Linked DNA regions of Mus musculus. The protein of the gene in region 6 purifies or fractionates together with the protein of the main gene of each other region. This does not show direct contact. Links are inferred from orthologs where the notes say so. Each region holds a gene or a part of one and is shown on either strand. Other genes may lie near its edges.

What was found.
Region 1: the proteins of L3mbtl2 (region 6) and Max purify together in Homo sapiens (affinity purification with mass spectrometry; 6 studies listed by BioGRID and IntAct, with this or other methods). This does not show direct contact. The link is inferred for Mus musculus from reciprocal best matches to the Homo sapiens genes L3MBTL2 and MAX.
Region 2: the proteins of L3mbtl2 (region 6) and Tfdp1 purify together in Homo sapiens (affinity purification with mass spectrometry; 4 studies listed by BioGRID and IntAct, counting the BioPlex papers as one, with this or other methods). This does not show direct contact. The link is inferred for Mus musculus from reciprocal best matches to the Homo sapiens genes L3MBTL2 and TFDP1.
Region 3: the proteins of L3mbtl2 (region 6) and Lin54 purify together in Homo sapiens (affinity purification with mass spectrometry; 3 studies listed by BioGRID and IntAct, counting the BioPlex papers as one, with this or other methods). This does not show direct contact. The link is inferred for Mus musculus from reciprocal best matches to the Homo sapiens genes L3MBTL2 and LIN54.
Region 4: the proteins of L3mbtl2 (region 6) and Yaf2 purify together in Homo sapiens (affinity purification with mass spectrometry; 5 studies listed by BioGRID and IntAct, counting the BioPlex papers as one, with this or other methods). This does not show direct contact. The link is inferred for Mus musculus from reciprocal best matches to the Homo sapiens genes L3MBTL2 and YAF2.
Region 5: the proteins of L3mbtl2 (region 6) and Mga purify together in Homo sapiens (affinity purification with mass spectrometry; 3 studies listed by BioGRID and IntAct, counting the BioPlex papers as one, with this or other methods). This does not show direct contact. The link is inferred for Mus musculus from reciprocal best matches to the Homo sapiens genes L3MBTL2 and MGA.

What each region holds. Positions count from the first base shown.
Region 1 is NC_000078.6:76,958,906-76,964,223, forward strand, and holds the start of Max (protein max), read right to left. Parts: upstream 3,344-5,318; 5' UTR 3,121-3,343; coding exon 3,085-3,120; intron 3,075-3,084; exon of another isoform or gene 2,880-3,074; intron 2,385-2,879; coding exon of another isoform or gene 2,358-2,384; intron 1-2,357. UniProt on the Homo sapiens protein: Transcription regulator. Forms a sequence-specific DNA-binding protein complex with MYC or MAD which recognizes the core sequence 5'-CAC[GA]TG-3'. The MYC:MAX complex is a transcriptional activator, whereas the MAD:MAX complex is a repressor.
Region 2 is NC_000074.6:13,365,677-13,370,222, reverse strand, and holds part of Tfdp1 (transcription factor Dp-1), read right to left. Parts: intron 765-4,546; coding exon 643-764; intron 55-642; exon of another isoform or gene 1-54. UniProt on the Homo sapiens protein: Can stimulate E2F-dependent transcription.
Region 3 is NC_000071.6:100,497,156-100,502,387, forward strand, and holds the start of Lin54 (protein lin-54 homolog), read right to left. Parts: upstream 3,485-5,232; 5' UTR 3,346-3,484; intron 3,007-3,345; exon of another isoform or gene 2,673-3,006; coding exon of another isoform or gene 2,651-2,672; intron 2,601-2,650; exon of another isoform or gene 1,148-2,600; intron 1-1,147. UniProt on the Homo sapiens protein: Component of the DREAM complex, a multiprotein complex that can both act as a transcription activator or repressor depending on the context. In G0 phase, the complex binds to more than 800 promoters and is required for repression of E2F target genes.
Region 4 is NC_000081.6:93,333,497-93,338,556, forward strand, and holds the start of Yaf2 (YY1-associated factor 2), read right to left. Parts: upstream 3,440-5,060; 5' UTR 3,287-3,439; coding exon 3,261-3,286; intron 2,970-3,260; coding exon 2,844-2,969; intron 1-2,843. UniProt on the Homo sapiens protein: Binds to MYC and inhibits MYC-mediated transactivation. Also binds to MYCN and enhances MYCN-dependent transcriptional activation. Increases calpain 2-mediated proteolysis of YY1 in vitro.
Region 5 is NC_000068.7:119,962,182-119,966,654, forward strand, and holds part of Mga (MAX gene-associated protein), read left to right. Parts: intron 1-1,510; coding exon 1,511-2,784; 3' UTR 2,785-4,473. UniProt on the Homo sapiens protein: Functions as a dual-specificity transcription factor, regulating the expression of both MAX-network and T-box family target genes. Functions as a repressor or an activator.
Region 6 is NC_000081.6:81,662,044-81,667,253, reverse strand, and holds the start of L3mbtl2 (lethal(3)malignant brain tumor-like protein 2), read right to left. Parts: upstream 3,366-5,210; 5' UTR 3,254-3,365; coding exon 3,230-3,253; intron 96-3,229; coding exon 1-95. UniProt on the Homo sapiens protein: Putative Polycomb group (PcG) protein. PcG proteins maintain the transcriptionally repressive state of genes, probably via a modification of chromatin, rendering it heritably changed in its expressibility.

The DNA.
Region 1 (5,318 bases), on a different chromosome or scaffold from region 6:
GGTAGGACAGGTTCAAAAGAAAACAACCAAGTCCATAGTATTAAGACTAATAGGACCCAGGCAGGGTGGTGACACATTTAGTCCCAGCTGATTAAATCCCATTTAATCCAGGAACCTGAGGTGGACCGATCTCCCTGAGTTCCAAGACAGCTTAGATGCCTTTCCCTCTCTCTCAAGAGAGAGAGAGAGAGAGAGAGAGAGAGAGAGAGAGAGAGAGAGAGAGAGAATAATAGCTGAAAAACAAAACAAAAAAGGAATTTGACTTTCCGTGGAAGTAAGTATGTGTAATGCTTCATTAGGAAATAAAACATTATCTTCCACGAGGCTCTCAGAACAATCCTTAAGACCTCTGAGATTACTGCACTCAATCAACCAGCACTCAATAAATAAGGTTTTCTTAGTGTTCAGGCAAGCTGTACAATCTCTAACGAAGCACACATACAACTGAAGAACCTGCTTTTAGCCTGTGAATAGTAAGGTCCTACATCAGAGCTATCATTTGGCATCCTACAAACTTGTTCCCTAGAAAAAGAGACAAAGGTAGAGAGTTCTTGTTCGTGTGAGGCAGAATCTCATGCTGTAGCCCAGGCTGGAACTCATTCTATATCCCAGGCTGGCTTAAAATTCAGGGAAGACTCCTGCCAAAGCCTCAGAAGCCCTGGGCTTACATACTGGGCCACAAGCCTGGACTCTGTGTTGTGTATGTTAAGGCAGGGTCTCAGTAAATTGCTCGAACGTTTGATCCTCCTACCTCAGCCTCCCCAGTAACTGGGTTTACCGACCAGAACCACCAAGCCTAGTTGCATCCTGCAAACTCTACAAGTTCCTAAACAGCTGTGTCATATATCGTTTAAAAATCAGGTAACTAGAAGGTAGAGAGATAGCTCAGTGGGTAAAGGCACTGAGGTCAAACCTGATGACCCTAAATTCAATCCCCAGACCCATGTGTTTGAGAGAGAGAACTGAATCCAAGTGGTTCTTATGACCTTCACATGTGAGCCATCACATACACGTGACCACACAACACTCACACACACATACATACATACATACACACATACATACATACACACACACACACACACACACACACACACACACACACGTTAAGTAAATGTAATTAAAAAAATCAATTAAATAGGCTGAGGTTGAAGCTCCATGGCAGAGGGGTTGCACAGCATGCGAGGGCCCTGGGTTCGAATCCTAGCACAGTCAAAAGTTAAATGCACATAAACACACCCAAAAAAGTAATAATCTGTGTTTCAAGTATTTTAACATTTCTCATAAACTTTGAGGTTCCAGGGATAGGGCTCAGCCCTGAAGGAAACAAAAAGATCTGGCAGCACCGGGCAGCACCGATCACTCTCAGGTAGCAAGCAGCAGGGGCAGGTGGCTACGGACTTTTTAGAAGGGGTGTACATCCTCACCTCTTCCTTCCACCCTTGACTAGCTGTTACCTGGTCCTCACGGGTAATGAGGACCTCACTCCATTCTCTTTCCCTACCATTTCCAACCATCAAATATTCCATCTCTCTCTCTCTCCTCTGGTTGTATTCTGAGTCTATTCCTTCTCTCCTCTCTCTCTCTAATCTATGCCTATTTACTCCTAAGTCTCAGACTCCAGACAAGAAAGCATGGGGTCAACCCAAAGCCAGAAACACCTACAAAAAAACCCCATTAATATAAAAAAATCTAATAAGTTACTGATAACATTATATGGATGCATCCATCACCTTTCAGCAAAGCTGTCTCTAACAGTGCCACTCTTCAACATTTTTTTTCTTCTCAAATGGAAAGTCAAGACCACAAAAAGCTGTGCCACTTTCAATATTTAACTTCTAGCGCCTCTCTTTTTTCCATTGTCGTTTTTTGGGGAATATCATGCTTTTCTAGATCCTAGGAGTCTGCAGTAGTCACATGACCTTGGCTAAAGGCGATTATTACATGTGCCTGCAACTTCACACAACTATGGAGATACTGCTTAAAGTTTACCTGCTCCTAAATAAAACCTAGCCAGTTTGCTCTGAAATAACACTACCATTCACTTCAGAATGCCCTTCCATTTCTCACATATCTCCGCCGCACTGAACACTACAGAACAACTCAGTTCACAGCACAGGCCTCCTCACTTGCCTGCCTACCTACCTACCTACTCACTAGAATCTACCACCTGAATATCAAGAATCATGTGGATTTGCAACGCCCCCCTCCTCCAACCCCAACAGACTCAACCTCACCTTAGCGGTTAAGAGGAGTTTACAAGAGTATTAAAAGTAATAGAACGATCTCTTTTTCTGACTCCAAAAAGAACCAAAACTGAACGGAAATGAAAATGAAATGGAGAGTAGGAGACGTACCGCAGATTGAAACCTCGGTTGCTCTTCCTGGAATAAGAGAGAGAGAAAAATAGAAAATACAGAAGTTATTTTCACACTTCGAATTCAATAATAAGAAAGAAAATGCCGGCGGCGGAGGAAGCAGCGGGTGGGGAGTCAGTCTGACACCCCTCCCTCCCTCTTTCCCCTTCCACTCTCTCCAGCGAGATCCCGTAGCCTAGTTGGGGGGGGGGGGGGGGGGGGTTTCAGGCACTGCCCCTCCTTCTGGGATCCGAACCGGACAAGAGGGATCCGGAACACTGCCTGCTCTCCCTCGATCCCTCTAGGGCGTCAGAGCACTCCCAGCCCCTTCACCCCAAGGATCAACCGGTCACAGGAGGAGGGAGCTCATGGACCCAAAGAGCAAGAGCTGAGCGCTGGTCTCCTTGCCCAGGATCCGGAAGGATAATGGGATCCCCAGCCGGGCAGAGCGGAGAGGGAGGCCTCGACACCCTCCTCCACGGGAGAATGTGGGGGTCCCAGAGGCCGCGTGTCTGCTCCCACCTTCAGTCCCAGGAGGCCTCTCCGGACAGGACTGGAGGGGAGCGAGCCTGGAGCGCGACGCAGGCGGTCCCGGCCCCGGGGGGAGGGGGAGAAAAGGACGGAGGCGGCGGCGACCCGACCCCCTCCCGCCGTCGCCCGGCTGAGAACCCTTGCCGCTGTCCCCGCCTGACAACCCGAACGGAAAGGAAGAAGCCCCAGGACTCACGTCGCTCTCCACCTCGATGTCATCGTTATCGCTCATTTCCTACGGCCCAGGGAGCGGCCACTGCAGCGGCGGCCGGGGAGGGGAGGGGTGGAGGGAAGGGGGAAGTCACCGACAACAACAAGCCGAGTGCCCCCACGCACACACTCACTCACTCGCTCACTCACTCACACACACTCACGCACACACAACACGGGCGACAACCACCTCACTGCAGCACCGGATCAACGGCGGCACGCACGCCCGATCGGCCCCCTAACACGTGACCGGGCTCACCGCGCCGGGGTAGCTGAGACTTGTAGTCCTCGAGCGTCGGATGGGCGAGTGAGAGAGAGCCAGAGAAACTACAAATCCCATCAGGAACCGCACACAGGCTTCGCCAGACTCGCTTGTTGACAGAGCTCAGGGCGCCTGCGCCCCGGGTGTTGGCAGCGAGAAGTGGCGCGGTGCCTCCCGGGAGATGTAGTCCACAGACCGCGAGTTGTCAGGAGATTTTCCTCCCCAGGCGGCGGAGAGGCTGCTGGGAAGACAGGACACGTGGAGGGAGCTGGGCTCCTGGAGCCGGCCACAATTCCGAGCTCTGGGCGCCCGGCCCAAGGGATTGGGTGGAGGCTCGGGGGTTTGGGGGCGGGGGGAGAGAAACTGGCTGCCAAAATAACACTGTCTCTTCTTGGCTAGACTGCTTTTACATTGTCTCGTTTAATGCTTGAGTCGCTCCACTTGCGCCCTGGGGCGTAACCCTCCCGGGAAGGAATCACGCTGTGGCTGACCAGGGGGCGCGGTCGAGATGCCCACGCGGGCCCTCTGTTATCTGGGTTTAAGGTGTTAAGAGACATTACGGGACAAACTAAAGGACCGATTTCGCCGGGTGTCCTTCATCTCAAGAATCTTGCTTTCATTTGTCCGAGAGAACTGTCCTTGCTGGGCTTGAGTGTTTACAAAACCTCTCGTAGGTGCAAGTAAAACCTACCTTCTGTTTGTTGTAGCCGGAGCAGATTAGGGAGTGCCCCAGTTTATAGAGAACTTTAATTAACTGCAAAAAGAATCAAAACGGGAAAGTTGTGCAGCTCCCTGTCCAGTTAAGGTCATACATAATGCAACGAGGTATGAAGTGTAACTACATTGTCCCCACCCGCATTTAGCTAAGTATCTAATATGTGGCAGCCCAGGAATGGCATGATGTGTCCCCTCAAAGACTTCACAGCTTTGAAAGCAAAAACCGGACTACCCTGTCACCATTTTCAGTGTGCACCAGGTCCTCAATGAAACAACAAACAAACAAACAAACAAACAAACAGTAATAATAAGGTCATCTGAGAAATTAACCAGACTACCACTTTACAATTGATCTTCAAAATGAGTGCGGTCTTGAGTTTGATTTATGAGTTAATGTTTTTTGAGTAAAAAATCATTTAACCCCTGACTATTGAGTGCAGAAACTTGGTGGTGTAATACAATCTTTCTGACACCTAGCCCAGGCTGGCCTTAAATGTCCGTGTGGCCAAGCCTAGTGATGAGAACACAGTCATAAGCAGACACTGACTCGTAATAGAAGTCAAGGGCTGTAAGGGAGACAAAGATGGTAAGAGGGTTTTTTGTTTGTTTGTTTGGTTGGTTGGTTGGTTTTTCGAGACAGGGTTTCTCTGTGTAGCCCTGGCTGTCCTGGAACTCACTCTGTAGACCAGGCTGGCCTCATCTCTGCCTCCCAAGTGCTGGGATTAAAGGCATTTGCCACCACTGCCTGGATAAGATAGTAAGAGTTAACTGGATACCAGAAGTAGAGACAATGGATGATCACCGCAAACCCTCCTTATATATCTACCTGCAATGTGCAATGTGCAGAGTGCATCCTTAGCTGCAAGTTAGTTTTTTGGGGGATTAAAAAAATATATCTCATGCCTGTTCCATGCCCCTCCTCAATGAAGTCAAAGCCTTTGGGAGGTGGGTAGGATCAGTAAAAGACAGTTTTTAATGATCTTCAGGTGGTTCGTATGTGCAACCTAGAGGATGCCAGGATAAAGGCAAGCTTTCACTGAATTATATACTTTGAAAGAGTGGGCTTTATGATTGATATGTTAATAATTATGCATCAACAAAGCTGTTATAAAAATAATCTTCGCTCACATGGCTAAAATCTAAGAAGTAAATTATAAAAACACTGTAGGGAAAGCGGATATGCCAAGCAGATTGTACAGCAGCAAGCGATATGAATTTCGAGGAGATGCCAGATTTCAGGG
Region 2 (4,546 bases), on a different chromosome or scaffold from region 6:
AGCATGGGTCTGATCCGGACCACACACTAGGCACCACTGTTCTAAAGGCGTCTGCTGGCATCAGAGCACGGCACATTTTAGTGTAAACTTAGGAATTTCCAGGGGTAATTTTGGCAAGCTACCATGACATAAGGCAGATGCTTAGATTGATGGACATGTGTCAAATGGGAACCATGGTGCAAGCTTCAGGTCGGGAGGCACAGCAACTGTGTCGCCCTCACTAAGTCACACTGGGAACAGTCACTACGTTTCTCTGCAGAGTTTGGGGCACAGATGATTTTAAATTGAAGCAAGGGAGACAGGGTTTCACAACAGTTTTTAAAATGTGACACACTGGTGATCTTTAAAGAGAGTCAGTCACTTCCACGTCTGCTACAGTCTCAGTGGCAGTACTGCCTCGGAGGGACAGACCATGCATGGGATAGAGCCCTGGTGTTGGACCTGGTAGAGATCAGATCTTCTGACACTTTCTAAGCGTTTGTGTCGTATTAGTGACCGGTGTTCTCTGTGGCCCAGTCAGAGGTGAGATGGGAGCCCTGCGCTCTCTCTGCTCAGGGACCCCCACTACAGACCATGTGACACATGGCCAGAGGACAAAGGGGACATTCTCAGCAGCTGCCAAACTGGGGTGGGGGTGCTCACCCAGCAGACCAAGGTGAGGAGTCAGACGTCTGGTTCTGTGACACAAAATGCGTGTTGGGAGTGTGTGGGCTTCCTACCACAATAGTGTTGGATGCTGCCGGTCTCTGAGGCGTGCCAATCACCTACAGTCAAAAGAGAATTCAGAACAATCAGACGTGTCTCCATCACAGTACCACCGCTTCCTTCTGCCTTGTCAGCCACAGTGAGAGAGCAACAGAGAAGCACGCTGCTCTGCTGTGGCACTACCCCACACAGCTCAGACACCCGTACATCTAAAAGAACATCAACGTCTCAAACAGGTAGGCAGGCTCAAGAAGACAGAGCAGGCCACAGTTAGGGGCTGGAAAGGACAAGGCAGGCCTCCCACAGCAAGAACACCGATAGTGACAAGGAGGCAACTTACTGATAGCTAGGATTAATCACAGGACAGTAACACATTGCTGGTTTATTTCCTCTTAATGAGCTAGGCAAGGATAAAACTGCCCCTATAAAGTATAAAAGTTACCAGAAGGGAAGGAAGAAAGAGAGAGAGAGAGAGAGAGAGAGAGAGAGAGAGGATGGAAGGAAGGAAGGACGGACAAAAGAAAGAAAGAAGACAGACAGACAGACTTCCAGAACTGTAACCCTAGGACAGACAACAGGTACCTCTTCCAGCTCCCAAGTGGGAGTGGTGCCTGACTGTCCTGCCGGGGACACCTTTTTCTACTGTCTATGAGGGACCTCAGGATCCAAACATCATCAGGACAAGAAAGGGACAGGCAACCCCATTGGGAGCACACAGCCAGCAGCTCACCTGACCAGAGGTGGTGGCTCTTGGGAATCAGGTAACCAGTTTTACCAGAGTTGATGTGGCGACCACTCTTATAGCAATGTTTTTGATGTCCTTTGGGAAGAGGTCTGCTGTTTTAGTTCCCTCAGTTAACACACAAACCTGTTATTCTGGAGACAGACAACTGTCCTATTCTGACAACCAATGTCTCAATGTCAAAAATCTTACTACACACATAACTCTAAGTCAAAAAGACCTCTGGTAAATCCCAAAGTACAGAGCACTTCAGTGATCAAATTCTTCTGGGGATATCCCCACAGGAACTGAATTGAGATACCTGGATCCAGTGAAGGTGTGGGTACACTTTGGGAGCACTAGGCCACACAAGACGGGAAGTGCATCTTGGCTTACTCTCTCAGGCGGGAACAGGGGATCCCTCCCCATCCCCAGACAGTAAGAGCTTTACGTCCCCCACCAGTACTGCCTGCCAGTCACGTTGACACATCCCACACCAGCATGAAGGCTGCGCAAAAGTTCTGGAGCTCACGGGAGACCTCAGTCTATTCCGCAGCACCAAAACAACCACCCCTGAGAAGATGCACAGCTGTGCTAGACTCAAGACTGGCCTGGGAGCACCTGCCAGCAGCCTGCGGCTGTGCGTGTGCAGGAGGGCACTGTGCCTGGCTTACCCACTGGCCGCACGGACGCTGCCAAATGACTGAATCTGAAGAAAGCTAACTTACTCCCAGATTCAACTCTTCCATACAGCACTTCTTGATATGCTGTGCCAAGGAGGGTCAGGTGGCCCCCTGACAGGCAGCCTCATTACTCACTGAGATCTACATCCATCAGGACACACAGAGACCCTGTGCACATCTGAGGGACAGTGCAGAGTGAGCTCCCCAACCCTCAGGTACACACATCTTCTCTGTGGATCTGACAATAGAAGGAAAACTATGCATATAGGAGCTATCTACCTTTGGCATCAAATGTCCCAGTCGCCGTCGCCATACATTTAGGCCCCACCTTCATGCACAGCATGATTGGCAAATGCTCAGCCCTGTGTACCCATGGCTGCCTATGCATGCTCCACCCTCCGTGTGCACACACAGATGGGAAAATGAAAAACAGACCAAGGAAATATCAGCAAGTGAGATGGGGAGAAGAGGAAAAGGCACATCCAGGAGGCCAGGTGCCCAGGCCTCAAGGAGACAGAGGAAAACCAGGTTGTAAAGTAGCAGCTCCATGCTGGCACGGCCAGATCCAAAGGCTGCAGACAAAGCCCTGGGGAGCACAGCCATGCTGGCCGGAAGTGGGTCCCATTCCATCTGCACCCTGACACTGGGAAAAGGGCCACATTCCCCTTGGTGTGCTCACATTCCACCATCACACATGTGAATACAGCATGCAGAAGCCCCCAGGGACACTGGCCTTTCAGATACCAAAGAGCTACTTCGGTTAGGGTTCTCTGGTTGCTACTCCTCAGGACAAGAGGAAGCCTGGTCACAAGCAGTCTTTCCTATGTCACTACTGCTGGGACTGAGACTGGTTCAAACCCAGTCTTCCAGACCCAAAGTTCCAGCAAGCCACATGACTGCTAACTGGCACATACTGAGGACTGACATCACTTAGAGCCCCCTTCTAGCTTTCAAGCCAATATGGGAGTCCTGTTGATGCGTCTTTGCCTTGCTATAGAACACACAGTCTCCCACACTCTAGACAAGCCTTCGGCCAACAAGCCACACCCAGTACCCAGACCACAAGGTCTTCCAAAACACTCTCCCCTCAAAACACCCTAAGGATTCATTTTGCACCTTAATTTCAGATAAAAGCTGTTCAGTATTATACACTGCGTGATTCTACTAGTTACATACAAAATAAAAAATTTAAACACAAAAGCAAACTACAAATTTAGAAAGGTTCAGGGAAGGTTAGGTAGGCTTTACCATGAAGCTACAGGCAGGGCCCAGAGTGCAAACCAGCAAGGCAGGCACCTCTGTGTTAACAGAGCCATCTCTGTGTCAAAGCTTCCAATACCTAGACACTCTTAATAGCCTCTGGTGAGCAAGTGCCAGGGACACAGCACCTGCCCCCATCACACTTCGCATGCACATAAGGTTTAACTATCACCTCCTATGTTAGAGCCAACCCAGCCATCTCCTCAAACAGTTTAGGGGTCACTTGGAACATGCCCGGCTGAGGATACAGCCTAGGAGTATGCCACATACCCTTAATCCTGGCACTCAGGAGGAGAAAGGAGGAAACGAATCTCCAGGAAGTCAAGACCAGCCTGTTCTACACAAAATGGTTTTCCAGCCAGCCAGTGGCACAGGACACCTCACCTCACAAATACCACCGCCATGAGGGACCTGACAGCCAGCTCCGTGGCTAAGAGCACTTGCTATGCTTGCCGAGGACCCAGGTTTACTTTTCAGTGCCCACGTGGCGACTCACAAGCACCTACAACTCCAGTTCCAGGAGAGATGATGCTGGCATACATGCAGTCCACATAGACAATGCAGCACAACACTCAAACATAGAAAGAAAACCCCCAATGCCCAGAATCCACTGACAAGAGGAGGCAGTGAATGTGCACACCACAGCCAAAGCTGGTGCAGGGGACGACCGGAACACTAGCGATTCGGTATGACTGCTTTCCCTATACAAAGCCTGACTGCATTGCAGAGATGCCCCAACAACAGGGGCAAAAAGCACAGCCAAGAATTCTGTTTAGGGATAAGAGACATCTAGGAACACCTGCCGATGCCTGTGAGACTGAGAGGGACTGGAGGGATAGCTAGGGACACCTGTGAAATGCTGCAGAGGGGTTTGGTGATAAAGGCAATTGTCACGACGCCTAACCACCAAGTCTGTTCCCCAGAACACACATGACGGAGGAAAAGAAACTCCTGCAAGTTGTCCTCTGACCTCCACATGAGTGTCCACTTAATATGTAAAAACAGAACAAAAATAAAATATATTCTAAAAAATGTTAAGCTACAGAGTCCTAAGGCCCAATGATTATTTGAGGGTTGTCAGGCCATCCATCCTCAGAAGACACAAGACTGGCGGGTGACAGACACTGTGGAGAAGGCAGCACGTGGGCAAGGTAGCTTCCCAGGAGAAGCTAGAGCA
Region 3 (5,232 bases), on a different chromosome or scaffold from region 6:
ATGGTAATATATAAAACACATAGTATCACTGTGTAAACAACCCGAGTAAGAAAACTTATTGCTAGTTGCAAATATTACTAGTAGGCATTTCTTAACTATTAACCTCTGTTTACTCTTATAATTCAAGGTCACTGACCCAACCTTCTACCACTAAAGGTGAAGAAAAAAGAAGAGCCCCAAACCAGTTTATAAAATTGTATAGACCATGTAACCCTTTCCTGTTGGATGCAGGGAGACTACCTAGGACCCTATAACAATCTAAACCAGTATGGATCATCAGATGACTAAAGTAAGCTGGGGCCATTATAAGGTCACTCAAGTCTTACAATGAAGGTAAGTAACAGTGCTCTAGGTACCTGAACAAGGAAGCAACATTTGTCACATAACAGATTCTAATTGTCTTTATCAGCTATATACACTCAAAGCTTTCATCCAATCATCACATCTCTGACAGTGAAGGCAAATTCATAAGCAGAACCGTGCTCCCAAACAGAATTTCACTCGTAGTATACAGCCTATTATAAAATCTCCCATAACTTCATTCTCTGAATTCATGAAATTAGGTGGGGACATAGAAGAAATTCCATTTAAAAATGAACAGAAAATATGATTTACAGTATCAACTGTTATTTGCCAAGTGGCAGGATCAAAGGTGCCACCCCAAAGATGACAAAGCCATATAAAAAATTTTTGATAACCACAAAACTGGTCCATATGTTCAAAAATAGATGAGGACCCACACCCCAACAAGTTCCAGACTATGTCCTGTCACCGACATTAAATGTAGAAGAAAATACCAATGTTGTGCCTCCCCAAAGAAACACAACTCCCTAACTGCTGGACACCATCAGCCAAGCCCCACTGAGTGGGTATTTTAAGTATTCTATCAGGAAATCATGGTAAGTACTAGCGGTTCCTCTAGGCCTCTGTAGCAGCCTTAGGTATAAGCAAACTCAGTCCTCTCGATAGTCAAAATAATAATAATAACAACAATAATAATAACAAAACGTTGATGTCATTACAAGGCTACAGATTCTTTGCACTCCTCCGGACAAGTCATTCTAGATTCCCAACGCATTTCCTCCCCCAACTCCCAAAAATGAGCTCTGCAAACAGAGAACCCTCGGGTACCCCCCTTCTCCTCTACCTCCAGAGGCTGCCGCTTTCTCCACCCTCCGGCTCCGAGCGGGCTCCAGAGGTCCCGGGCAATTTCGAGCCCGGGCAGTGCTTGTTTTGCCTGTGCACCGTAGCTCTGTCCAGCTGCTTCCTTTCCCAGTTTGCACGAAATGGAGCGCTATAGGGTACCCGGGGACCCAGGAGGGAGCCGGGGTGGCGATGTCGCCGCGGCCGCCGCCTCTGGTATGTCAGAGGCCGGGATTGTATTTCGAAAGATCCGCCATTTTCACCTCGTCATCACCATCACAGCTCAGCAGCTTCCCCCGACAGCCGAGCCCCAGCCGCCGCCGCCACCGCCGCCAGTCACCTCCCCCTTCCTCCTGCTCCCGCCCCGGCCCGCCCTCCGGAGCAGCGCACACCCACATATCCGGGGAAACCTCCCGTCCGCCCCGCCAACCTTCAAACGCACTCAGGGGGGAGGGAGAGGTTCTAGGGCTCACCGGCGGGTCATGCCAGACCCAACATCCCAATACCAAACACTCGGCACCCGGGAGACCCGCAGGAACGCCACGGGGAATCGTGATACCTGCGGGATTCCAAGGCCTGGATGTTGGTTAGGAAGGCAAGCCGTGTGGAATCTGACACAAGAACAGTAAAACCTCAAACTTTCATTTCCAGAAACACACTTGAGAGAGATGGTAGACCATGTTTCACGTATATTTCAGAGTCACTGGAGAGCTTTAACGTCACTCACCAACGCTGGCATTCTACTCCACTCATAGGACTATGTTGACAGTATGGCTATTTCTATATGCATGCCTGACTTCTCGGACATCCTTAAATTACAGGCGCTGATCATGCAGACATTGGTCTCCTCTCCCCTTCATTTTTAAGAATAAAGTTCTGAACTGTTTTCCTCTCAACTTTGACCATTTTTGCCCATGAACAACATTATGTCAATTTGTCGTTGGTTTAAGATACTCAGGTACTACTAAATTTAAATTACTGATTCAACTCTATTATCATTCATAACCATCAACTTCTAACATATAGAAAATCCAGCTCTTCGCTAGAACCCTTTGCCAACTGACTTTAGGATCTAAGTTTCCAAATTAAAAACCATCTGCTGCTGATAACACTTGTTCAATGCAGAGGGGGGAAAAAAACAGCTTGCTTTAGAACAAGATTCCGGAACAACCTATCCATCTCCCACCCCCTTCCAGTTCCTCTCATGGTGTAGTCTAATAAGCACCCAAGAGGGAATAGAAGTAATTAATCATGTAAGGAATTAAGAACATATAAGCTGCAAGGCTTAATAGGACCAGCATCCTCCAAAAGTTAGCTGTTTGACTTCAGAAAGCCTTACTAATTGCCAGTTCAAAAGCTTTATTCTTTATCATTCAGTCATACTATAAGCTCTTAAAGACCTAACAGAAACCAGCAAGCTGAATCTCAGGGTTGTGGACAAGGCTAATCTACTGTCTTAAGTTTCCCTAAGAATAAGGAAGAAGCAGAAGCCATTTCATTTCCCTACCTTGTTTGAATGACACCTCCATATAAAAGTCAGCAGGCTCAGGCTTAGTCAAGGGCTGTCTCCCACCCACTCCCGGCGCGTTTCTACCGAGAGCCCGCTAGAGGCTGAGCGTGGAAGGGGTTCCCAGTTTCTCCATCTTTCAACTTTATTCCCCACCAACAGCCGGGTCCACCGGCACTCGGATGGTTGTTTACCGTTGCTTGACCAGGCTGAGTCCCAGCCCGCTCCCTTCCCCCGTGCACCGCGGGGACACTATGACATTTGGCTGGTGGGCTTCGCGAGGGAAACGGACACACACCCAGAAGAGTCCATACAAAGGGGCGTAGGAAGAACGCGGCGCCGGGCAGCAGCGAAAGGAGGCGCTGGTACGAAATGACACAGCAGCAAAACAGGTTCCCAGAAGCCCGGGGCCGGCAGCCGCTTCCCGGGCCGCGCCGAGAGCCTGTCAACAGCCGCCCAGCCCTTCCTCCCGAGCGCGGGGCGGGCGGCGCCGGCCCGCCGACTGACAGCCGCGCTCTCCGGCGCCCGCCGCTCGCGCCGCGCCCCGACAACCCTCGGTCCGCCGCGGCCCACCGGCCCACCGCCCGGCTGCCCGGAGCCGCCGCCGCGCTCTCCGCCCGCGCGCCGCTCGCCCCGAGCGCGGGCCCGGCGCCGGTCCCCGCCGCTCAGCCCGGGTCTCCGGAGCTGACACTCACCCGAGCCGGCGGCGCCGCCTCCTTCTCGCGCCGCGCTCCCCGGGCTCCCAGCAGCCGCGGCGGCGGCGCCTCCGAAACACAGACCCGGGTTTGTTCAAAATCACGCCCAGCGCCATTCCACCGCCGCATCCCATAATACGCCGGGCCGCCCCGCCCCGCCCGCGCGCCGCCCCGCCCCCGCCGGCGGCCCGAGCCCCGCCCCTTCCGCGCCCCTGCTCCGCCCCCTGGCAACCCGAGTCGCGTCTTTGCGCAGGGCTGGGGGAGCGCTCTGGGGTTCCACGTGACTGCTCCTGGGGCCTCCGTCAAAGGGAAGGCGGGGAACTCCAAGTGGGTTCGTGCTTCTGGCTTTGTGACTAAACCTCGGTCAGTGCGGTTTCCAGCGCGCCCCCGCTTGGTGATGCGCCTGAGTGAAGAGAGAGTCCGCATCCTTTCTCAAATGTTAATAAATCTGTTGGGGTTTAGACGTGAACGTTGCAAGGGGCTCCTAAAAGCTCCTGAGAGAGCACGCAGAGTTACCTTGAAAGGGAGTTTTTGATAATTTGTCTTGCAACACACCTTATACTGATACATATGGATTCTTTGCATTCAGTCATCTCATTTCCTGGGATATTTATAAATCCAAGAAATAAAAAATATATATTAAATTTTAAAAAGGCCTTACAACGTGAAACTACCTGGGGAACCACACGAAGGAGGCGGGAGATAAGTTAAAGGTATCGCTTTCCAACCAAGTATTCCTGGGGGTACTGTGGGGGCATCACTAGAAGAAAAAAGGCAGAGAGACTGAGGCCCCAAATTTAGATAACCCCCACCTCCACACCTCACCTTGGTAGAAAAATTCTGAGTTCCTTCCACCAAGCTGACACAGTTCTGATACCACTACTACAAAACAGGACCTAAGGAATAAGGGCAACATTTCCGGGTTTACTGTGGATTTTTTACAACGACTAAAATGACTAGTACAATCTTATCAGTGTCAGCAATCTGGTCAAAACAACTCACACCATGACATAGCGTTTAATGTATGTGGAGAATGACAGTTTTACATTAGTGAATATAAGAACTGTGGTATCCAGTGATGCATTATATAACACTCAACAACTGTGCTGAATATTATAATTCTTAGAAGGAACTGGACAGATGTCTCCGTGCTTAGGACCATGGTTAGGACCCGGTACCGTTCCTATAAAGGACCTAAGTTCAGCTCCCAGCACCCACACCAGGTGACTTACAAGGCCTGTAACTCCAGTTTCAGGGAATCCAACATCCTCTTCACGACTCTGAGGGCACAAACAAATACACAGATATGCATGAAAATAAAATCTTAAAAATAAATACAATTCATATAAAATCAAGAATAAAATAAAGCTTTTAGCTGGGCAGGGTGGCCCACCTCCATATTCTAGCTTTTTAAAGGCTGAAGCAAGAAGAAGATTGGGAGTTTGAGCCCAGCACTCAGCCTGCATCTTTCAGTAAGACACATACACACACACACACTGTTTCCTTCTTTTCCTTGAATCAAGATTCCAGGACGACCAGGGCTACACAAAGAAACTTGTCTCAGAAAAAATAATAAAATAAAATAAAAAAACAAACAAACAAAAAAGCAGCAACAGAAGCCAGGCAGTGGTGGTGCACGCCTTTAATCCCAGCACTTGGGAGGCAGAGGCAGGCAGATTTCTGAGTTCGAGGTTAACCTGGTCTACAAAGTGAGTTCCAAGACAGCCAGGGCTATACAGGGAAACCCTGTCAAAAACAAAAAACAAAAAAACCAACTCATGTCAATAGCTGTGCACACAAAGGATTGATCCCTTGTCCAATCAAACTGCTCGTCTTATATAAATAAATAATTCTGGAGCTGTCATTACTGCCTTGGGAACTCAAAAA
Region 4 (5,060 bases), about 12 Mb from region 6:
AAAGAAAGTCATTGCCTGTTCCGATACAGAGCAGCGGCATCGGGTGTTCTAGAGAGTACATGTGTGTACATACATGCATGTAAGTATACAGCACATGTGTGCACATACACGTATGTAAGTATACAGCACATGTGTGCACATACACATATGTAAGTATACAGTACATGTGTGTACATACGCTATGTAGGTATACCGTACATGTGTGCACATACACGTATGTGTGTATACAGTACATGTGTGCACATACACGTATGTATTTACATGTGTGCACACACATGTATGTAAGTATACAGCGCGTGTGTGTACATACACGTATGTAAGTATACAGCGCGTGTGTGTACATACACGTATGTAAGTATACAGTACATGTGTGCACATACACGTATGTAAGTACACAGTACATGTGTGCACATACACGTATGTAAGTACACAGTACATGTGTGCACATACACATAAAGAAGAAAAGGCTTCAGACATCTAGAATAGCTTAGGCTTGCCTTCGTGATTGGCAGCTAGAACAGATTCAGTTCAGAGGTTGTTCTGACCCAAGGGATCCAAATGCTGGCTGTGGTCACACAAACAAGTCATTAGCAAGCTGTGTCCCTGTGTGCTGCAGCTGCCCCCTCCCTGCTCTCCTTCCATCCTATCTGCCAACAGGCACATCAACTGGGGGAACAATGTCCCCCGACCACTCAACTCTTGCCTTCCATCTGTGTCCCAGTCCTTCACCTGGTTTCCTGTCACTCCTAAGAGGAAACACTGTGCATGTAACCAGCATCTACTTATTAACAAGGCCATGTTCTACTGATCCATCCAAACACTGTGCATGTAACCAGCATCTACTTATTAACAAGACCATGTTCTACTGATCCATCCAAACACAGATCTCGGGGCGGGGGGGGGGGGGGGGAGGGGGGGAGCAAAGGGAAATGTAACAGACAACAGAGAAGTTACAACTCCTGCCATTCACTTAGGGGTAAAGTCAAAGGAGACAATTCAGAGAGAGAGAGAGGAAGAAGCTCAGAGGGACACCGTTCTGAGCACCTACTTTTAGGAACACGGTGTCCCTTAGACTTCTGGTGAGGGGCCCAGAGCCTCTTCAGTTTCAATCCAAATGACAATGCTTCTCTGAGTCCTCCTCAAGTAATGTTTCCACCACTAAAAATTGGATCTACTGGTTAAAAACAAAAACAAAAACAAAAACAAAAAGCCAGGGGCCTGCAGGTGGGTCTCAGGCCTCTCTAAAGCAGGCCCACTTCTGTTGTGGGCCAGCTCCCCTGTGTGCTACAATCCTCCTTCTTCCAGGAGTCAGGGACTCAGCCTGGTGCTTCTCTTCTGAGTGTCACCACCTACTCTACTTCTCGGGGCTCCTCTAACCCCAAGACTGGCTGTGGAGTAGGACACACCAGCTTGCCCCCATCCTTGCTGTCCCTGCAAATAAACAAATAGGCTCTTCTAATCCAGTGTTCGTCTAAAAGTATGAGAGGATACAAGTAAAAACAAAAGCAAAAAAAAAAAAAAAAAAAAAAAAAACCCAAGTCAAATGATCTCCATATTGCTCATTTACAAATACACATATATTATACACTAAGCCGTTTCCATCCTTATATAGACATATACACCGTGCTTTCCAAAACACTTAAAACGTGAGTCCAGAAATAGCAAGTAGTTTCTCTTTTTAGAATCTTTCCTTGAACTTAAAAGGGATTTAAAACCTTGCTTTTTAATAGACACCAAGAAATACTAAAAATATTGTATTCAATGTAAATGAGAATTCGTAGTAAAAACCTATTGAGATTTATGACAGGTATGTCAAAAACAACCAGTATTGTAGAAACAATAAAATCCTGACATGTCTCTACACTTACAATGTTAGTAAAATTCTATAAACTGAGTTTTTAAAAAAAAAACAGGATACATCATTTTTAGAAATAACTTTGACTATTTAGAATGTCAAAATTATACAGGCCCTCTGTTTCAAACAGAAAATTCCCCGTATTCTGTAATCATTTGTATTTGAATAGGCTTCATAGCAGCAAAATAAATGCCTTACTTAAATATTGCTACAAATCACTGTAGAAGTGGATTTAAAGGCGGCCTTCCCAAGGGAACTATGACCAAGTGGAGACAGATCAAGAATGCTACTGAGTTCGAATTTCCTAAATTTAACTCTTTTAAATGGTTTTTTTTTTTTTTTTTGGAAAGACAATTATAATACTATATGCCTACCATACAACAAATCCAGGGCCGGCAACAGACAAAGATCATGTCATCTCGTTTGTGTAAAAATATCCAGGCACTGGAGTAAAACTGCGTTGCTGGGTTCACCTCCCAACCAACTACTTAACTGTAAAAAATTATTACAGAAATAGAACAACAACAAAAAAAAACCCAGACGCGAAACCTTGGCCTGACCCTTTCCGGACATCCGTTACTAAGAAAGTTTAATCCATTACGATCCTACAAGCGATACTTTTTCCCCAGGGGGACCGAGTGACATCGCGGCCTTTCCTCCGTCCCCTCCCCCGCCCCGGCTCCCCGTCCCCGCCCCCTCCCCGCACACTAACACCACAATGCGACCAGCGATCACGGTCTCTGCGCCCGGCTGGGGAGGGGGCACCGCACCGGCCACGCATGGAACGGCACGGCACGGCAGCGGCCGGCGACCCCCATGGATAATTCATCCTCCGCAGCAGGCGCCACCGCCGCCGCCACCGAGCCCTCGCCGCCAGCCGCGGCTCAGCCGGGTCGCGCCCCACCGCGGCCGCCGCCTGGCTGGCCGCCCCGCCGTCCCGCGTCGCGCGGGGGGCCCCGCGGGGGATCCACGGGCGCGCCGGACTCACCGGGTGGAGGTGCCCTTCCGCACATCGCACATCATGCACTTGAAGGCCTCGGCGCTGTTCCGGAAGGTGCAGACACTGCAGTCCCAGTAGCCCTCATCCGAGGCGGGCTTCGGCTGCCGCTTCGGCCTGCAGGACACAACCGGACACGACGCAGCGCGGGGTCAGCCGCAGGCCGCGCCCGGCCCCGCGCCCCGCCCCGCCCGGCCCGCGACCCCCGCCCCGCCCGGCGCCGCGCGGGGGAGGGGAGCGCGGCCGCTGACCCCGGCCGCCATCGCGGCCCATTGTGGGCAGCCGCGCGCCCCGCCGCGCCGCGCCGCACCCCCTCTCCCCACACACACGCGCGCGCCCCGCGCCGCGCCGCTCCACGCCACGCCACGGGACCCCGGGCCGCGGGCGCTCCGCCGGCGGGCGCCCTACCTGGTGGGGCTCTTCTTGTCGCCCATGCTCGCTGCCGACGCGCGCCGGTCTGTCAGCGCCGGGGTGAGGGGCCGGCGGAAGCGCGGAGGCGAGGGGGCGGGGAAGGCCGCGCCGCGAGCTGCAGCCGCCGCCGCCGCCGTCGCCGCCGCCGCTGCCGCCGCCGCCGCCGGATCCCACGCAGCCTCCAGCTGTCGGGGAAACTCCTGCCTGCGCGCACGTGACCCGCGCCGGCCAACCAGCGGCCGCGCCGGAGACTTCAAACGCGGGGAGCGCGGCCCAGCACCGGCGGCGAGTTCGCGGCGCCGCCTCCCTCCAGCTCGCCCGCCCGCTGGCTGCCCCGGAGCGCTCCGGCCGTGGCTCGCACGCCCCGAAGGGCGCGATGGCAGGCGCCCGCAGACACGCGTGCGCCCGGCGCGGCGGGGACTGTCATCCTTCCTTCTGGGGAAGCGACCCAGAGGCTCGGGAGAGGTTCGGTGCCCTGCTCTAGCTTACATAATTCAAACGTGACGAAACCAGGGTCTGATCCGGTTTTAATTGCAGCGGCGTCCTCCTGGCCTCACGGGGCTCTGCAGTGGCTTGTTATAAAACGGACGCTCGTGAGCCTACGTAAGGCAGACGAGGTTGCTTGTGCCCTGGACACCACCTCCCCGAGTCTCCTTACTCCAGCCTGTCGGGGATACACACCTCGCCTGCTAGACCCAAACAGCCATCTCGCTGGTCCTTGAAGCTCTGCTTCCCACCTCGCCGATCTGGCGGGTACCCCACAACCAGAGTTAGCTTGACATCCCTCTGATCGAGGGGCGACTTTAGCATGCCAAGTCGGTGAACCGTCATCAGGAAAGCTGCCCCTGAAGAAAGGAGAGATGAAATCCATCCCTTCTCGGAGCCCTGCCTTCTTCTGCCTTATTTGGGTGTGCTGATGGAGGCGTTGTAGCCTCCGCATCAGGCTTAACTAACTGAAGGGGACCCAGTTCAGGCACTGCGTACTTAACAGTTGATCTGACTGTGTGGCTCCTGGGATACTATAAGGTTGTTTAGAAAATGTATCCAGCTGGGCCAGAGCAGGATGGAGCAAATTTTCATCATGATACTCAGAGTGAGATGGCAACTAAAAACTTGAGGAGTTAACTGTTTAGGAAGTCCTTAATATTTTGAACTATATCGTCTGTGGGTAATTGAAACAGGAAAGCAAAACTCCAGCAAAAGGGAGACTACTGTATTGATGTGTTACTTACCAAACAAGAGTTAATAACCAAACTGGAGGATGCTCTCCTTTTTATCATTGGGAATATGATATTAATTGGGGTAATTAAGAGGGAAATAGGCTTCAAGCTTCTGAGAAAAGAAAGTCAAAATGAATTATAGCAGAACGGGTGGGAGTATACAGCTCAGAGATGGAGCACTTGCACAAGGCACTGAGTTACTAGAAATTTGGAAAAGCATTTAAAAGATTGTTTTATGTGGGGTTTGCTTGGGTGCTTAGTATTACTTTATTTTTGCAGAATAGAGAGTCTGACTTAGTTGAGTGTAAAAGTTATATATTAGAGGTTGCGTTAATTTTCCAAGATAAAAGAGGCTGAGTGGTTTATGCAATGGAAATGTTTTTTCCCATAATACTGGAGGCTCCGAGTAGAAGATAAAGATGTCAGGGCTGCTTTCATCCAAGGCTCCACTTTGCTTGCAGATAGCCATCTACCTAGGTCCCACCTTCAAAGGGACATCTTTGTATGTGAGTGCCTGTATCCTAATCTCTTTTTATCACTTCTGCCTATGCCATGCTCTCTTATAAGGACGTCACTC
Region 5 (4,473 bases), on a different chromosome or scaffold from region 6:
TTCAAGGACAGCCAGGGCTACACAGACAAACCCTGCCTTGGAAAAAAGAAAAGAAAAGAAAAAAAAAAAAGAAAGAAATAGTCCTCCTAGCTTGATTTGATTGGTGGTTAACCTGGAGTTGGAAACTGTTTTGTTAATAACTCTAGTGACATTTCTAAGCAGGGGAAGAATTAAAATGGTGTTCAAGTGAAATGATGATGTAGAAGGGTCAATATTTAAGTTCTTGGTGTTGATCGTTGTTTTGGGTTGTATTTGGAATGGAGGCACTCCCATGTTACCAATCCAGTGAATTGTTTTGAGAACCATTTCTTTTTGCTAAAGTATTCTTTTGGTGGTTTGGGATCTAGGCATCTAAATCTGTGTTAAGGTAGGAGGCGTAGTCTCGTGGTTGTTTTTTTTGTTGTTGTTGTTTTTTTGTTGTTGACATTGCAACCTTTTTTGTTTGTTTGTTGTTTTTTTGTCGCGTCCCACTCGATCACCAAGCAAAAAAAACGCAACCATGGGTTCTTCTTAAAGCAGTTTACTCAGGCAGCTACTTTCTTCAAATCCCCCAGCCTCTCTGGTTACAAGTGTTTTTCTCCATTCCAGCCCTACCAATCTCCACAGGTCACATCACCTCACCAGGCAGGTTTGCTCAGCCAATCAGGGATTAAGGGCGGGCCATCCACCAAACATGGGCTTGTTTACTACCTGGAGCAGACCTCCATCCTGCTGACCAGGAAGTCCGGAATGGCTCCCTACAGTTTTTGTTTGGTCTTACTGTATTGATCTTAGAGTTCCATTTTCCCTTCTAACTAGCAGTTAATTGGGTGAACAAAATCAAGATGTGTTTCTGCCTCAGGACAAGAATTAGCTTAGCAAGCTGGTTTTTGGATGGTGGCCTGTGCCCATAATCACAGCTCTTATGAAACACAAGACAAGAATTTTGTGAGTTGGAGGCTAACCATGGCCTCCATAGGAAGATCCTGATTCTGTCCAATCCTAGGGCTGGTAATGTACTTGCTTATACTTTGTATAGGCAAGTTCCTGGGTTCAGTCTCCTCCACTGCTCTCCCAGTCCAAAAAAAGAAAAGAGTTATTTTGTAGAGATTTTCTAAAAATGTAATTAAGTGGAACTATTGCTAATAATGAAATACCTAAGTGTCTTGACTAGATTTTACTTGACTTATTGCTATTTCAGCTGTTATTCTGTTATTTTGTCCTTTTTTTCTTTTTCCCTCCCTCCCTTCCTTCCTTCCTTCCTTCCTTCCTTCCTTCCTTCCTTCCTTCCTTCCTTCCTTCCTTCCTTTCTTTCTTTCTTTCTTTCTTTCTTTTTTTTTTTTTTCCAGAGCTGAGGACCAAACCCAGGGCCTTGCGCTTGCAGGCAAGAGCTCTACCACTGAGCTATAGCCCCAACCCCTCAGCTGTTATTCTGACAAAAGTGGACTAAGATAGACTGGGAAGGAGAGAGAGAAAAAGAGATTTTCATTACTGCATCTAATGAACTCTCTCTTTAATTTTTGATTTTCAGAGAATGATGACTTATTTATGATGCCACGAATTGTCAATGTGACATCATTGGCTGCAGAGGAAGATTTGGGAGGTATGAGTGGCAACAAATACCGTCACGAAGTTCCTGATGGCAAGCCACTTGACCACCTGAGAGACATTGCTGGGAGTGAAGCCAGCTCCTTAAAAGATACAGAGAGAATCTCTTCCAGAGGAAACCATCGAGATAGCAGAAAGGCACTGGGTCCAACACAGGTGCTTTTGGCAAATAAAGATTCTGGGTTTCCACATGTAGCTGATGTTTCCACTATGCAGGCAGCACAGGAATTTATACCTAAAAATATGTCTGGTGATGTGAGAGGGCATCGGTATAAATGGAAGGAGTGTGAGTTGAGAGGAGAGAGACTAAAGTCAAAGGAGTCTCAGTTTCATAAATTAAAGATGAAAGATCTGAAGGACTCAAGCATAGAGATGGAACTGAGGAAAGTAGCCTCGGCTATCGAGGAAGCAGCCCTCCATCCCAGTGAGCTGCTGACTAACATGGAAGATGAGGATGACACTGATGAGACTCTGACTTCACTGCTCAATGAAATTGCTTTTCTTAATCAACAGCTAAATGATGACTCTGGCCTAGCTGAACTGTCAGGTTCTATGGATACAGAATTCTCAGGAGATGCTCAGCGAGCTTTTATCAGTAAACTTGCTCCTGGGAACAGATCAGCTTTCCAAGTTGGACACTTGGGAGCAGGTGTGAAAGAGTTGCCTGATGTCCAAGAGGAGAGTGAATCCATCAGCCCCCTCCTCTTGCACTTGGAAGATGATGACTTTTCTGAGAATGAAAAACAGCTTGGGGACACAGCCTCTGAGCCAGATGTCCTTAAGATTGTTATTGACCCTGAAATAAAGGATTCTCTTGTTTCCCATAGGAAATCTAGTGATGGAGGGCAGAGTACTTCTGGTCTCCCCGCAGAGCCTGAAAGTGTATCTTCACCTCCCATCTTACACATGAAGACTGGCCCGGAGAACAGCAACACAGATACTTTGTGGAGGCCTATGCCAAAGTTGGCCCCATTAGGTTTAAAAGTAGCTAATCCCCCCAGTGATGCCGATGGTCAGAGTCTCAAGGTGATGCCTGCCTTGGCACCTATAGCTGCCAAAGTTGGGTCAATTGGACACAAAATGAATTTAGCAGGAATTGACCAGGAAGGCCGGGGGAGCAAGGTGATGCCTACATTGGCACCTGTTGTACCTAAATTGGGCAACTCTGGAGCTCCATCAAGTTCATCAGGGAAATGAGCTTGTTCATCCTCATACAAAAGCCAGGCTGTGAGGGGAAATGAATTTCACCTCCTTTCTCTGTAGGCGTCTGTTTGTTTGTATTATGGAACTATTATCCTTGACTTAATTATGTGTGAATATTGATGGAGAAAGGAGGTGTAGGGTGCTGGTCCTGGTGTTTGAAATTCTGATCATGTTAAAAATGTGTTACCTCACTTGTGGTGCTGGGTCCCCTCATCTTCTCTAAGAAGGTGTGATTCCCTCTTGCCCAAGGAATTCATAACAAGATTCTGGCTCCATCAACTACCTTATTATTTTCCCCTGAGAAAATGCTTGAGACTTGGAATTACTATAGACTAAAGTATAAGTCATAGTTGTTGGCTCCAAAATCTGAGAATTATGATACAGTTGTGTGGGAAAAAAAAAAAAAAAGAACTTTTAGTTACTATTTCAATAGTAGGGCATGGTAGGACTGGGCATGGTAGTGCACACTTGTAATTCCAGCACTTAGAAGACTAAAGCAGAAGGATTGCAAGTTTGTGTCTACCCTGGCCTATCAAGGGGACAGACACACACACACACATACACACTTGTGGGGGCCAGGGGAGTAGGAAGAGAGAATGTTATAGTAGGTAGGATGAATATTATGGAATACCAAAGTGAAGGGATTTTGTCATTCAGCAGACTGTTTCATATCCAGAATAGTTCTTCCCTTACCCTTTCAGTCATAATTAAAAACCTAAGCTTTCTGGTAAAGTAGGAATATACTTTTTACTTTTACTATTAACATACTTATTTTCAGAGACTAAAAAAGACATACTTCTCCCTTATTTCTTGGGGTATCACAAAGATTCATTCATAATACCAGAGATTTCTACTCATTGTTTTTTGGAAGTAGACATAGAGGCAGCCCTTCCCTTTCCCAAATCATGTCACTCAAGAAACAGCTAAAATGAAAAGCAGTTTCTCCCCTAACCAGAGACCGTAGCCAAAATAAAAATTTGTGGGGCTGGGTATTTCCCAAATGAAACCAGCCTCTAGGTGCTTGAAGGTTTTGTTCACTGTCACCTGCACAGGATGTAAAGAAAAGGCGAGTCAGAGTGAGCAATCTTTACCAGGGAAGTAAGGCAGTATTTGAGTCACAAAGTATATTTTTTATCTGCTATCATGGCATCAATGATCTGTAGAGCTTTTTCACTCATTGGCTGTCAGGGTATGAAGGACTGACAACCTGTAAAGATGAAGATATTTATATTTTTGTATAGTTGTTTTCATAGATTTCTCAAAGGATGAAGTTTTCGACCTAGAAGAGATTTGTATTGAGTATAGAAATGTTTCCTATCTAGTTTGTAAATAATCATGGTGCATTTGAGGGGTCTCTCGGGAACTCGTGAGGCAAGAATCACTGTTCTGAAAATGTATAGACTGAGATGTAGCTGCTGCATTTGCCTTTCTTAAATAATTATATTTTGGAATGTAACCCGTTCTGTCTTCAATGACAGGATTTGCTTGTGTTGTAAAAACACTTTAACACAAGTGCTTCCGGTGCCTGGGCTGTGCCTGGGTGATTGTATTTCTTTTACACTACTGCGTCTTTATCCTAAGTCCCACTCTGTATCCTCTGACCTAGGTTGTGAGACCAACTTTGGAATGAATCTAGCCAGTGAATTACTTCTATGTTTGATTTCCTTTTTAGATTAACTCTGA
Region 6 (5,210 bases):
GCACTGCTGTTGTAACTCCGGAAGCTGTCGTAGCCCCCAAAGAGATCCAAGTCATCTTCCTCCTCCTCTTCCATTGGCTCTGAAGATGGCGCCTCCTAGTGGGAAAACGACAAGAACGAGAAGTTACAAACTGGCTAATCCATCCAGCATGAGTTGGGGATTTGAATGTTGGTCCTCTGAAAGAGCAGCAAGAACTCTTAACTGAGCTGGGGGTGGGGGGCTGGCACGCCCCTTTAATCCCAGCAGTGAGGAGGCAGAGGCAGGTGGATCTCTGTGAGTTTGAGGCCAGCCTGGTCTAGGACAGCCAAGGCTACACAAAGAAATCATGGCATGAAAAACCAATATACGGGGCTGGTGAGATGGCTCAGTGGGTAAGGGCACCCGACTGCTCTTCCGAAGGTCCGAAGTTCAAATCCCAGCAACCACATGGTGGCTCACAACCACCCGTAATGAGATCTGATGCCCCCTTCTGGTGTATCTGAAGACAACTACAGTGTACTTACATATAATAAATAAATAAATCTTAAAAAAAAAAAAAAAAAAAAAAAGAAAAACCAATATACGGCGGTTAAGAGCACTGACTGATCTTTGGAAGGTCCTGAGTTCAAATCCCAGCAACCACATAGGGGCTCACAACCATCCATAATGAGATCTGATGCCCTCTATCCTCTTCTGGTGCGTCTGAAGACATCTACAGTGTACTTAGATATAATAATAAATAAATAAATCTAAAAACCAACATATATATATACACACACACACACACATATCTATATACATATCTATATCTCTATCTATCTATCTATATATGTATATATTCATTTAAAACATCTAGGAGACTAGGTATAAGAGGCTAGGTATTGTGGTACACACCATTAATCCTAGAACCCTGAGCTTGAAACAAGTCTGGTCTACACAGCAAGTTCCAGGTCAGCTCAGACCGCACGGTAGACCCCAACACCCCCACCTCTCTCTTCACTCTCTTTTTTCTTTTTGTTTGTTTGTTTCTTTCTTTTTTCTTTTTCTTTTTTTTTTGAAACAGGGTTTCCCTCAGTAGCCCTGGCTGTCCTGGAACTAGCTCTGTAGACCATGTTAACCTAGAATGCAGTGATCTGCCTGCCTCTGCCTCCCAAGTGTTGCGATTAAAAGTTTGCACCACCACCCTCTGGCTAGTAGATCCTCTTAAAAAAAAAAAAAAAAAAAAAAAAGAAGAAGAACAAGAAGAAAGAAAAAGGCAGGTGTGGTAGTGAACGCCTTTATTCCCAGCACTCAGGAAGCAGAGGCAGACAGATCTATGTGAGTTTGAGGCCAGCCTGGTCTACAAAACAAGTTCTCCAAAAAACAAAACAAGAAAAGAAAGAAAAGAGGACGGGAGAAATGTCTCAGCGGGTAAGAGCACTGACTGCTCTTCCGGAGGTCCTGAGTTCAAATCCCAGCAACCAGATGGTCGCTGCTCGCAACCACCTATAATGAGATATGACGCCCTCTTCTGATGCATCTGAAGTCAGCTACAGTGTACTTATGTATGATAATAAATAAATCTTTGGGCCGAGGCAAGCAGGGACTGAGCAAGCAAGGGTGACTGCAGAGAGTGGGGTTGACCAGAGAAAGCAGAGGTCCTAAAATTCCCAAAAACCACATGAAGGCTCACAACCATCTATCTGTACAGCTATAGTGTTCTCACATAAATAAATAAATAAACAAACAAACAAATAAGAAAAAAGAATGGACTGTTTCCTCCAATGACCATCTGTACAGCTATAGTGTACTCACATAAATAAATAAACAAACAAATAAGAAAAGAGAATGGACTGTTTCCTCCAATGACCACATGGCTAAGTGCAAGCTGTGGTTGGTTTGAGCCTCTGCTCAGCACCAAGACCCCTCATACTGGTAGCTTGGGTACAGAGCAAAATTCCAATTTCAAAGAACAGCATCTATTGAAAAGATACTGTTTCCACACCACTATCAGGTCAAAAAACGCTGCCAGGGATCAGAGATCTACACAATAATGTGGAAATATCCTAAGCACCTCAAAAAATTTTTACTGGGCTAGAAGGCATTTGAAACTCTTTCTTCCCTCTTCTGTATATGTACATCCAAATGATCTCAACTCAGAAACAAATTTAAGACTGCCAGGCCCTCTTGCTGCTGCCTAGACCACTGCTCCTTGCAATGTATCCAATAAACCTGTTTTCTTCCTTAAAGGAAAACAGGGAAAAGAAAAAAAGACTGAGAAAATTGAGACCCAGGCTATCCCAAGGAGGCTTTGAGTCAGATGACTAATTGTATGGTGGTATGGACCACAGCCGTGAGTTGAGCTCTGATTGAAATCAGCTACTGATCCTGGGGCAAGTCACTTAAGGTCTGTGGGACAATTTTCTCATCCACGACAGCTGTTGGCTCACAGAATGTGAGGTAGCGATGAAATGCTACATAAAAACGTACCTAGCTTGTAATAGGAAAAAACGTGCCTAGCTTGTTGGGCAAGACAGAGGTAAAGAGAATGACGCTTTGGGCCAAGGTTCAAATACGATCTCTAGTGCTTCCTAGCTGTACGATGCACAGCGAGTCAAATGCACTGCCTCGGTTTCCACCAAATAAAGACAACACCACTATTTAATAATATTTTGGGAAGGGATGATAAACGTAAAACACTCAACAGTGCTCAATAAAGCTTAGCAATTATTACCGCTAGGAAACGGCAAGAGACTTCAAATGCAAGGTGCGGTGGGTCACCGGCTGCGGTACCACGGAAAAAGCGTAACGCAGTTTTGGAAACTGACGTACTTGGTGACAACCTCTTGCACTTTGCAGCTGTGTCGACCCAGAGGGCTGTTTTAATCCCTCCCTAAAGAAGATGGCTGTGAGCGTACGGGGAGACCAGCACGTGAACGCTCCCAGCGTGGAGTAGGAATCAACTCCGATCTTCCTCCCTTCACTTCCCGCGTGGAAGGGACAGGCCGCACGATCCTAAAGCTCAGAACCATGAAACCAAGACAAAGTTCAGAGCCCAGTTTCCCTGCCCCTGGCTAGGGAGGCGTTGCCATCCTTCCTTCGTCACCAGACCAAAAGGAACCTCGGGGGCCTCTGGCCGAGGCTAAGCTCCGTACCTCAGTTTACCAATCCTGCAACTGTCCACCACTAAGACATCGCTAAAACGGCGCGTCCGCCGAGCGAGGCGTTTGGGGCTCCCCTTCCCGCTTGGGCTGAGCCCTTTCCCTCTTACCTCAGTGCCCCGCGGTTTCTCCATGATACCAAATTCAATTCCCTCAACCGTCACCAGGTGCAGGAAGCCATATTGCCCTCGCCGCTCTCCGAGAGTGTGCTCATTGGCTGCTGCGCCCGAGCTGCGGGCCAATCATGCCGCAGGAAATAGGAAGCCGGTTCCGCGCTCGCCCGCGCCCCGCCTCCATTAAGGAGGGGCTGGGTAGCCGTGAGGATTAGGGGAGTTGTAGTTTTCTCCTGGGTGCACGAAAAGGGTCGTTGCCTTAGTAATGCGAAATCTCCTGAAGGGTACTTCTAGGGTTTTGTTGTTGTTTTTTCAGAGACAGGGTTTCTCTGTATAGTCCTGGCTGTCCTAGAACTCACTCTGTAGACCAGGCTGGCCTCGAACTCAGAAATCCGCCTGCCTCTGCCTCCCAAGTGCTGGGATTAAAGGCATGCGCCACCACGCCCGGCGGGTTTTTTTGTTTTTTGTTTTTGTCCTTTCTTAGTCAAATTTCAAACCATCTGAGCACAAGGGATTGGACGTGCCAGCCCCCCCCCCACACACACAAAAATTCGCACTCTCCCCAGGGGCCCCAGACAAAAATTCACACTCTCCCCAGGTAGGAAGTAAAGGTGCTCTTGGACAGGAATGCCTAGCAGAAATGCCTAATCCCTCTTTCAATTCAGACAGGAACAGGAATATTCTTAAACTCTATGTCCGTCTGCTCGCTGGGGCTTATGAGATGGTTTAGTAGGTGAAGGATCTTGTTCCATGAGCCTTTCTACCTGAGTTCAAATCTCTGAGCCACAACATAAACCTGGAAGTCAAAAAGCTACTCACAAAGTTGTCCTGACCTTTGTGTCACGCACATAAAACAAACACACAAGCTAAATAAATAAATGGGGAAAAAAAAGCCTTGGACTGGAGAAATGGTTCAGTGGTTACTGGCCACTTTTCCAGAGGTACCAGGTTTGATTCCCAGAACCCAGAACAACTCACAAAATTCTATAAACCCAGTTATAGTGGATCCTACTTTCTCTTCTGGCCTCTGATGACGCCAAGCACTAACATGGTCCATACATATGCATTCAGCAAAACCCCCATATCCACAAATAAATTATACGGATAGATGTTATAACCTTAAATCTAGGAGAGATGACTCAGCCTGTAAGTGAGTACAGCCAGAGCATGGAAAGCTGAGTTTTGCCCCCCAGTGCATGACAGAGCATGCCTGTGATCCCAGCACTAGGTAAGCAGACACAGAAGGATTCCCATGGCCTGCTGACCAGCCAGCAGCGATACAGTGGATAGCAAGAGATTGAAGAAGACACCTGAAGTCAACGCTTTTGCCAACTGGAGTATACATGTGGATTGAGTCCCCTATAGAACTACTCCTTCCCATCCTGGGTTCTCAGGAATTGTATGGCCTTACAAGCATCTAAAGTTCAGACAGGTCTGGATTAGTTTACTTATCCTACGTGAGGGCTCCCAGACCCACTCCCAGCTCCCTGCCTCTCTGCGTTGCTTTTTATTTTTAAATTTTTATTTATTTACTTTTTTAATGTGTTATAGGAGTTTTGCTTGCACGTATGACTGTGCACCATATGTGTGGCCAGTGCCAACAAAAGCCAGAAAAGGGTGTGGGATATCATGGAACTGGAGTAACACGGTGGTTATGAGCTGCCATGAAAGTGCTGGGACCGAACCTGGTTCTCTGAAAGAGCAGCCAATGAGCTTAAAAACTGAGCCCTCTCTCCAGCTTGTTTTTATTGTTTCTATTGTTTTGATTTTTTTTTTTTTTTTGAGACAGGTTCTCTGTAGCTGGATTGGCCTTGGACTCAAAGAGATCCTCCTGCCTCTGCCTTCCAAGTGAGTGCTGGAATTAAAGTCAGGCATCTTCATTCCTGAGTTTGTTACTGTTTTTTTTTCCCCCTTTAAAGCTTTTGAATACAGTCTGTGCCACCCTCATCTTCCTCCCTGTGGAGCCGTTGACTGGAGT